2 linked regions of the Danio rerio genome follow. The protein of the gene in region 1 purifies or fractionates together with the protein of each later gene. This does not show direct contact. Links are inferred from orthologs where the notes say so. Each region holds a gene or a part of one and is shown in the gene's direction. Other genes may lie near its edges.

Region 1 (3,832 bases):
AATTTTGTGTGCATTATAGATTTATAATTTTTTTAATGCACTACCTAAATTTTTTAGGCGTTATTTTGGTTGTTGAATGTGGTTTCATTTCTGGTAATTTACTGAACTGGTTATGTGCTGAACATGTTTAACTGACAACACAGGCAAATCATCCAAAAGGTTAATATAATACACTACAATATGGCAGTGCATGAGTTTAAAGTGATAGTTAAAGAAGTGTAGTGAACACATTTTTCTGACAGGGTCAGACTAACGATTGATCTTTTTAACTGTAGCTGGGAGATCATTGATTCTGTCCAGGAGGGCAAGTCTGCATCAGGATCTCCATTCACAGACTTCTGGACGAGTCTCAAGTTGTTCATTGAGGAGACATCCTCTTTTAAACAGCAGAATCCAGGCAAGGTATGGATAGATTTGAGTAGATGATTCCTAACATGTCTTCTTTTTTACATCAACTTAAAAATTGTATTAAAACTGTAGAAGGAGAACTACATACCTAACAAGTCCTCATTTCTTTTACAATTTTTTAATTATTTGTAATCATCATTTTGCCTTCACTATTTTACATGTAATCACTTTGCAGTGTAATTCTTGCAGTAATTCATGTTTTTTTTGTGTCGTGTTTATTCAAAATTTTCAAGATGAATGTACAATGTGCTTTCAAAAATACAACCAATTAAAAGCTAATTTTAAAGACATTGCAACATAGTCCAAAAATGAATCACAAAACCAAATCATAAACAATAATAACACATAAATGATTGTGTAATAAGAAAATACAAATATGAAAAATAAAAGAATAATAAGACAAATAAATGTAAGGACAACATAATAAAGTAATTAATGGTATATTTCTATTTTTTATTAAATTTTATAAATAATTTCTAACCATTATTAATTATTTTAAAGATTTGTATAGTTTTAATGTTGAACCCTATGTGTAACTTCATCAAAATTTATAAAAATATAATTTTTAAATAAAATAAAAATATGACAAAGTCATAAACATTTAAGTGTCCTGTAATAACCCCCAGTTGCACTCCATAGTTTTCCAATGAGTATTTCAATTAGAGGCCGTTAATGAGTTCATGTTTTATATAGTAATTTAATGAGAAATATTACAAGTATGCCATGTAATTTTAATGTAGGCTTTTTAGCAGCTGTGTTTATAATCATTTAAGTTTAGTATTTCCCATTGCATGTATTTATTATTTCACACAGTGATTAATTTACAGTGAACTGAGCCATTTTAAATTTGTGTCTCATTTGCAGTTTTGTCTGCTGGTTTGCAGTATGTGCTCTTTTCTAGCAATACTTGGACGTTACGTACCAGGGGTTGTTATTTCATACATTTTAGGTAAGTACCAAAAAAAGATCCTAAACATATAATGATAATAATAGTTATTTTGTCTTATTTTTTCACTGACATTTCTTTACAAATTCAATTCAATTTAGGTTTAATTAGAAAGCACCTTTACAATGTAGATTGTGTCGAAGCCGCTTAACATAAAAGTTCTAGTAAAGTCCAGATTTCAGAGTTGAATTCATTTAAAATACATTCAAAATACATCCAAAATGAATGTAACCATGCTGCTACTGGCCAAGGAGAGCAAACCCCCTCCGGATTTACCTCCAGCACAGCCCATTCGTCATGTGGTAGTGGATTCTTAGTAATGTCACTGTGACGACATTCACATTCACACTCAGTCTCTGGTTTCTTTTTCTTCCTGGCAGTCAGCAGGTTCGTAAGTGTGAGCCTTACATTAATAGTTTACACATCTGTTTACCGCAGTGCTGGGTATTTTTCTCTGGCCTTTGGTGTCGTCACATGAGTTCGGGATGTGGTTGGAACCAGTTCTGCAGAAACTGGACTTTGGAGTGGCCGAGTTTTTTCAGAAAATAAAGGAGAATCACGGTAAATCCCAAATACACTCACTATACAAAATTGACTTTACATTTTTAAATTTATATAGTTTCTCCCTTGGATGTGCTGTTTTTGATTTATGTAGCCCAAAACAAATGCCTCACCGGACAGACTCTGTTCCTAATCCTAACGTTCTTGGAAAGCTTTCAACTTTTTAGCTTTTGGTACTTAAAACCCCTATAAATCATTGATACTCTATTCACCCAAATGTTTTAAGCTTTAAAACTAGGGAAAAAAAACCCATAATAGTAGTCTGTGTTACTCTGTTACTAAATGATTAATGCCAATTTTTTTACATTTCCAGAATGCAAGGATTAAAGATATTATTATATATAAAGTTAATTTTTAAATTATTGATGCATGTTAGAGCTTTTGCATCACTTCATAAAATTGGAATTAATCCACTGTAGCAACAGGATTACTTTCACATAGTTTTGAACAAAAGATGAACGTAAGTCATGTAAGCTTGGAATAACATAAGGGTACACATAATACATTTATTTAGGTTTAAGACAAAATTCAAAAATACTATACAGGTATCTGAAATAAAATGATTGAAGCAGTAAAATAAACCTAAAACTGAGATTAAAATAAAGCTAAATCAAATTACTTGATTATTAATAGTACATTTTTAAAGGGACAGTTCACCTAAAAAACTAAATTCTGTCATCAGCTATTCACCCTTCACTTGTTCAAAACAAATCACAAATTAAGATGTTTTGAAGAATGCTGGTTACTGGGACCAAATGACTTTCATAGTATCCCCTCCATCTCCCACCCCCACCATGTTAGTCGATGGGTTTCAGCGACCAGCATTCTTTAAAATATCTTCAGTAAACGATGAGGTCATTTTCAGTTTTGGGTGAACTAACCCTTTAAGTATTATTATATATACTAAGTAAGTATATAAATAATACTAAAATAATATTGCATGGAAAGTAATTCCTAAGGTAACCTATAAACCTATAGGGAGCATCTTTTCCCACTATACATTACTTCAAATGTATGAATCAACTTTGAGTCTTAGGTTTAGCATTAACATGTTGCTAAGCTAACAATGTGCTACTACAAACAACTTGAACATAGCAAACATGAACATCTTCACACTTACTCTCTTTCTGCAGAGAAAAGGATACTCCAGTCACAAACCGAGAGAGAGTGCATCGAAGCAGATCTGTCTGCACTTTTCCCCAAGGTCAGCACACTGTCACACAACTGAAGACAAAGGGTTTAATGATATAATATTCATATGTCCATTTCCTGTGAACCGATCTGTTGCAGATGGACTCCACTGTGTGCAAAGAGCTGTCCTTATCAGACACAGAGGTCTCTGAAGTCACGTGGACAGACAACGGCACTTTCAACCTTTCAGAGGGACACACACCTCAAACAGAGAACTCTGACGGTATTTTTTAAAATCTTAGTAATATACATATAGGACGCAGTGGCACAGTAGGTAGTGCTGTCACCTCACATCAAGAAGGTCGCTGGTTTGAGGCTCGGCTGGGTCAGTTTGTGTTTGTGTGCAGTTTGCATGTTTTTTCTTCGTTCGCATAGGTTTCCCCAACAGTCTGAAGACATGCGGTAAAGGTGAATTGGGTAGGCTAAATTGTCCATAGTGTATGAGTGTGAATGAGTGTGTGTGGATGGATGTTTCCCAGAAATGGGTTGTGATTGGAAGGGCATCCGCTGCGTAAAAACATGCTGGATAAGTTGGCGGTTCATTCCACTGTGGCGATTAATAAAGGGACTAACCCGAAAAGAAAATGAATGAATAAATGAATGAATTAATAAATATACCAATAGGAAGTATGTGTAGTGTGAGGGTAAATTTAAATATCATTCACCTTGGAAGCAAACTGGCTTGCTTGTTTTATACACATATTTATATATATATATATGTGTGTA
Region 2 (4,520 bases), on another chromosome or scaffold:
TAATGCTATGTGTTTGTTTATTTAACACTTACTTATATGAATACTTTATTTTAAAATAATTATCCAGCTGCTATTTATTTATTTTTGCAAATTTAACAAGTTATTATTAAATTGTATGTATTAGCCTTATTCTTAATACAATGTTAGGCTTATTTTAATACAAAAGTATTAATTACTTTTATTTATTGATATATATGTTTTATTTAAGCCTTTTCTCTGAACATTTCACTGAATGGGTCCCCCGGACCTTATTTTGAAAAGCCCTGATTTAGGGTAAAGTCTAGATAGAAATAGGATACACTGCTGGCTAGAAGTGCGATATGCACATCAATATAGCAGCAATTTTAATGACACTGTATAACAATAATTAATATTTTTACATTACTGTTTACAGGTTTAGAGTTAGGGTAGGGGTTGATGTTTTGTTATAAATGCCATAATGTTGTACATTCAAGTCTATCTTTACAAAAACCAATTTGCGTGTTGTATTATTCTGTAATGTGCTATATAAATCTGATATCAACTAATTGTAATGATCAGAAATTAATCATATATTTACTCTGTTTTCTCCACAGACAAGGACTATTTCCTGATCGTCATTCAAAATCCCACAGAGTAGTCCTTCTAAGTACTTCTGAAGTATTTTTTTTTCTGTAATTACAGGCCAAAAGTGTTTCATTTAATGTTTCAGTGAGGTTTATATAGTACTATTAACCACATAACATTACAGGAAGTTGCTTCTTATCCTATTATAAAAATATGGTTTGTACTGCTCTTGCTTATCATTCCAATAGTTTGCCATATACTTAATTTATTGTTTTCTCATTCTCATTTTTGCAAGTACTCCAAACTGTTCATCATCAAAAAGCAAAAACATGACACTATTACATACTGTACTTGTTTGTGAATGCTAACAGGACAATAAAACAACAATGTATTTCCTTTTATTACTTTTTGTGGCTGTGTGTATTCATATTGAATGGAAAAGGTGCTTTGTTTTTTGCCATAATATAAATTTAGTTTAGGTTTATATAGAGAATTGAAAATGATTTCATGTTTAAAATAATTCTTGTAAATGGCTGCAAAAACCTGTTTGAATTTAAATTGATCGCAAAAGAAGAAAATATTTTTTAGAAATGTTGAAAACTCTTGACTTAATTTTGCATTTTTCCCCACTACAATGGATATCAATGGTTACCGGATTCCAACATTCTTCAAAATATCTTCTATTTCATTTAATAGGAAATATTAACCCATAATAGTCTAAAACCAGTTGAGGTTAAGCAAATGCTGAGTAAATGTTTAGTTTTGGTTAAACTATTCATTTAAAGAGGACTCTGTCTCTTTAAATCTGATGACGTCACGAGCTTTAGTATATTGTCTCGAGCTGTTTTGCTTACAGTGAGTCAGGAGCTCGAAAAGAAGCCGAGTCGACCGACAATTCAGCATATAATAACACGCAAACCCTTTAAACTACTTTTAACCACATTCAAGCACAGTTATGCCATCCGACAGACCCTTCAAACAACGACGGAGCTTCGGTAAGATGAGTTTTATTCGTGCCTTGTCAGCCGAAGTGTATTTGTTTATCAGGTTTGTTTTTGTCCCTAGCCTGCTAGCAACTGCGTGACACACTGTTTACATTCCTCTACAAAGCTCTAAATGCTTATGAGACGATTATAGAAATAAATATTAAAGTCTAAATGACAGTTTTTAACAAAAACCGACAGAGGTCAGTTGCTAAACAGTAAGCTAGCTTGGGCTTTTTTATAGGCCTTGTGTTTAAATTTTATCAGCTTTATTTTTTTTACAACTGTTGTGTTTGTAAATACGTATATAACCTTATATTTAACTTTTTACTTAGAAACATAGATGAATGACATATAGTTACAGATATGTAGCTAGATAAATGTGTTGTTTACCAGCTTTGTGAAAATGTGAGATCAACATTTCTTTTTTTTGACAGTAGTGTTTTTCTGTTACATTTGGTGTAAATGATGCATTTATATATTTAGAATATTTATTGTTTGACAATAACATTGAAGGAAAGGATGGACTGTACACGTGCTGTTGATATGATGCTGTAATATGAGCTCTTTCTCATAGTCCAGACTGTGGACAGGGTGTGGGGAGGGAGGAGCATAAAACCCTTGCATAATCTTCCTAAACATAACAAGTGCAACATAGATTTGCTGTTTCAAACACATCTGTAAGAGTCCGGGTCAATATGATCTGCATACAGTCTTATATTTGTCCAGCCTTTGGGATTATACAATTGACACGGATGACCCAGACATGACATCAGTAAAAATGACACACAAGTTAGGAAGCTTACCCTGATAAGCAAGCTGGATTTTTTTTAGTTTTACTTTGAAATATACTTGCAGTGGTAGCCAGAATGAAACACAAGTTACCCACATCATCACTTAAATAGATATTGATTTTCGACAAACAAAACATAAGTTAATTTTTACAATTTTATTTATTATGACATTGTTATACAGTTTCTTTTCAATGGCTTAAAGTAAAAAGACTGTTGAAAAAAATCCACTATTTCTCTTACTTTTATACTATTCAGGAGCCATTTGCACCCTCTGACAGGTAAAATCTGCTTCTTTCACTCCAAGTTCAAAGCAAACTCGAATGCCAAAGCATTTTAGAAATGTATAGAAAATAGCCTATGTAATATATTAACATAAATTAATAAAATAATCAGCAGATGAGAAATAAATGATAGAAAAGGAATAAAAACAGACAATGTCTCTAAAAATGCAAATCTTGTAAATTTTAATTACAAGATTAAAACGTGTAGTTTATTTAAATAATGCAAATGCGTTGATTAACCATTGTTGAGCTTTCAGAGTGATAACAAAAGATATTAAACCTTTTAACAGAAATTAATGTTTGTTTGTCTGTTATACTGTACATTATGGTGGAATAGGTTTGTAGAGTAGGGCATGTCAAACAACACATCCGCAATTATTTTTCCTCAAGTTTTTAGGAATGTTTATTGAGCGTTTCTGCTAAACAGGTTTGACATAAGCAAATTCAGCAAATGCTAATGCAGTGATTACAGTGTTTTCAGGAATGAGTCTTGAAAATATACTTACTGTGTATTTTGAATTTGGACTGTAAAATGTATATTATTCAGAAGTGTACCAAATTTCTGTTTGTTTTTTGTCTTTTCAGCTGATCGTTGCAAGGAAGTGCAGCAGATACGAGAGCAGCATCCTAATAAAATTCCGGTGAGAAACTAGTTTTGTTTTATGCAAGTGTCATAAATGAATTTAGACTTATTGCTTTAGCCTTATTGCTTTCAAGATGTCACTTACCTGTCAGCTCCGGATTTCTTTTAAGATCCTGAAATTTATTACTCTAAAACAATGGGCTTCAACTTCTATGAGGGCCTTGGGGTGACTTAGAATTATTGAAAAAGAAAAGATGAAGCTAAAGCAGTTAGAAATACTGCATTTATTTAACAAAGCATCAATCATTTTAAAGTGTGATTTCTAGACCTTGGAAATATAAAAATAAGTAATATTAAAATACATTGTTCTATGTATCCACAGCTCTAAACCATTATATGAATATATCAAAATATATTAGGAAATAATCTTAATTTTTTATTGTAATCTTTATCTTTAGTGAAATATATTAGGAAATATATTTCAAAGACAAGACATTCCATTCTGTCATCTGCATCAAATTCAGTATAAGTGATTTTTATATACAGTTCTCTCCCCAGTTTGAAAATTTTTGGAGGCGAAATTTTTTTCCCCATTTCTCGGTGCATATGGATAATATATATTGGTGCATTTGATCAAAACCGATAATTAAACAGATATTTTTATTAAAAATAATATTTCAGTCACAGAACATATTTAGAAATGAAAAGATAATATATTTAAATTAATGCAAAATATTGCAAAAAAAAATTACAAACTACAACATTTCAACAAAATTGTATATATTTTTTGTAAAAGTTCCTAAGGCTCCTATGGCTTCAGTACTGAATAAACTAATGTATATGCACAAATAAAATATTGTACAGTATCCTATAGAAAATATTAATTGAAATCAGACATTTGTGGGGGGTGTACTCGTATATGCTGAGCACTGTACATAAAAAGCATAGTAACTTTCTACTTTAATGTTCTACTTTAACATTTTGACATTATATGCTAAATGATTAGAAAATATTGATCTATAATCATTTAGCATATAATGTAAAAATGCAATGGCAGCAGCTGGCTTTATTGTAATAAAATGTATAAAAGAATAGGTGATCATACTAAAACTGCACTAAAATGATTAAAAAGAACATTTTAATGTCATGATCAAATTATTCTTGTTTAAATATGCCTGAAGATTTTTCAAATATAAACTATTGCACTGACTAGTATTTTAGATTGTGTCTGATAGTCACTATTGTATAATCTGATAAAACCTATTCTAATGTATGAACATTTGAAATCTATATTACAGTGTTGTATATTTGGTTTGTATAAATATATTTCAAA

The links.
Region 2: the proteins of retreg1 (region 1) and map1lc3a purify together in Homo sapiens (affinity purification with western blotting; 3 studies listed by BioGRID and IntAct, with this or other methods). This does not show direct contact. The link is inferred for Danio rerio from reciprocal best matches to the Homo sapiens genes RETREG1 and MAP1LC3A.

What each region holds. Positions count from the first base shown.
Region 1 is NC_133177.1:34,752,977-34,756,808, reverse strand, and holds part of retreg1 (reticulophagy regulator 1), read left to right. Parts: intron 1-275; coding exon 276-402; intron 403-1,272; coding exon 1,273-1,357; intron 1,358-1,792; coding exon 1,793-1,915; intron 1,916-3,048; coding exon 3,049-3,119; intron 3,120-3,205; coding exon 3,206-3,329; intron 3,330-3,832. UniProt on the Homo sapiens protein: Endoplasmic reticulum (ER)-anchored autophagy regulator which mediates ER delivery into lysosomes through sequestration into autophagosomes.
Region 2 is NC_133186.1:28,686,135-28,690,654, forward strand, and holds the start of map1lc3a (microtubule-associated proteins 1A/1B light chain 3A), read left to right. Parts: upstream 1-1,420; 5' UTR 1,421-1,501; coding exon 1,502-1,541; intron 1,542-3,189; coding exon 3,190-3,245; intron 3,246-4,520. Other genes in the region: dynlrb1 (dynein light chain roadblock-type 1), read left to right, coding at 576-619. UniProt on the Homo sapiens protein: Ubiquitin-like modifier involved in formation of autophagosomal vacuoles (autophagosomes). While LC3s are involved in elongation of the phagophore membrane, the GABARAP/GATE-16 subfamily is essential for a later stage in autophagosome maturation.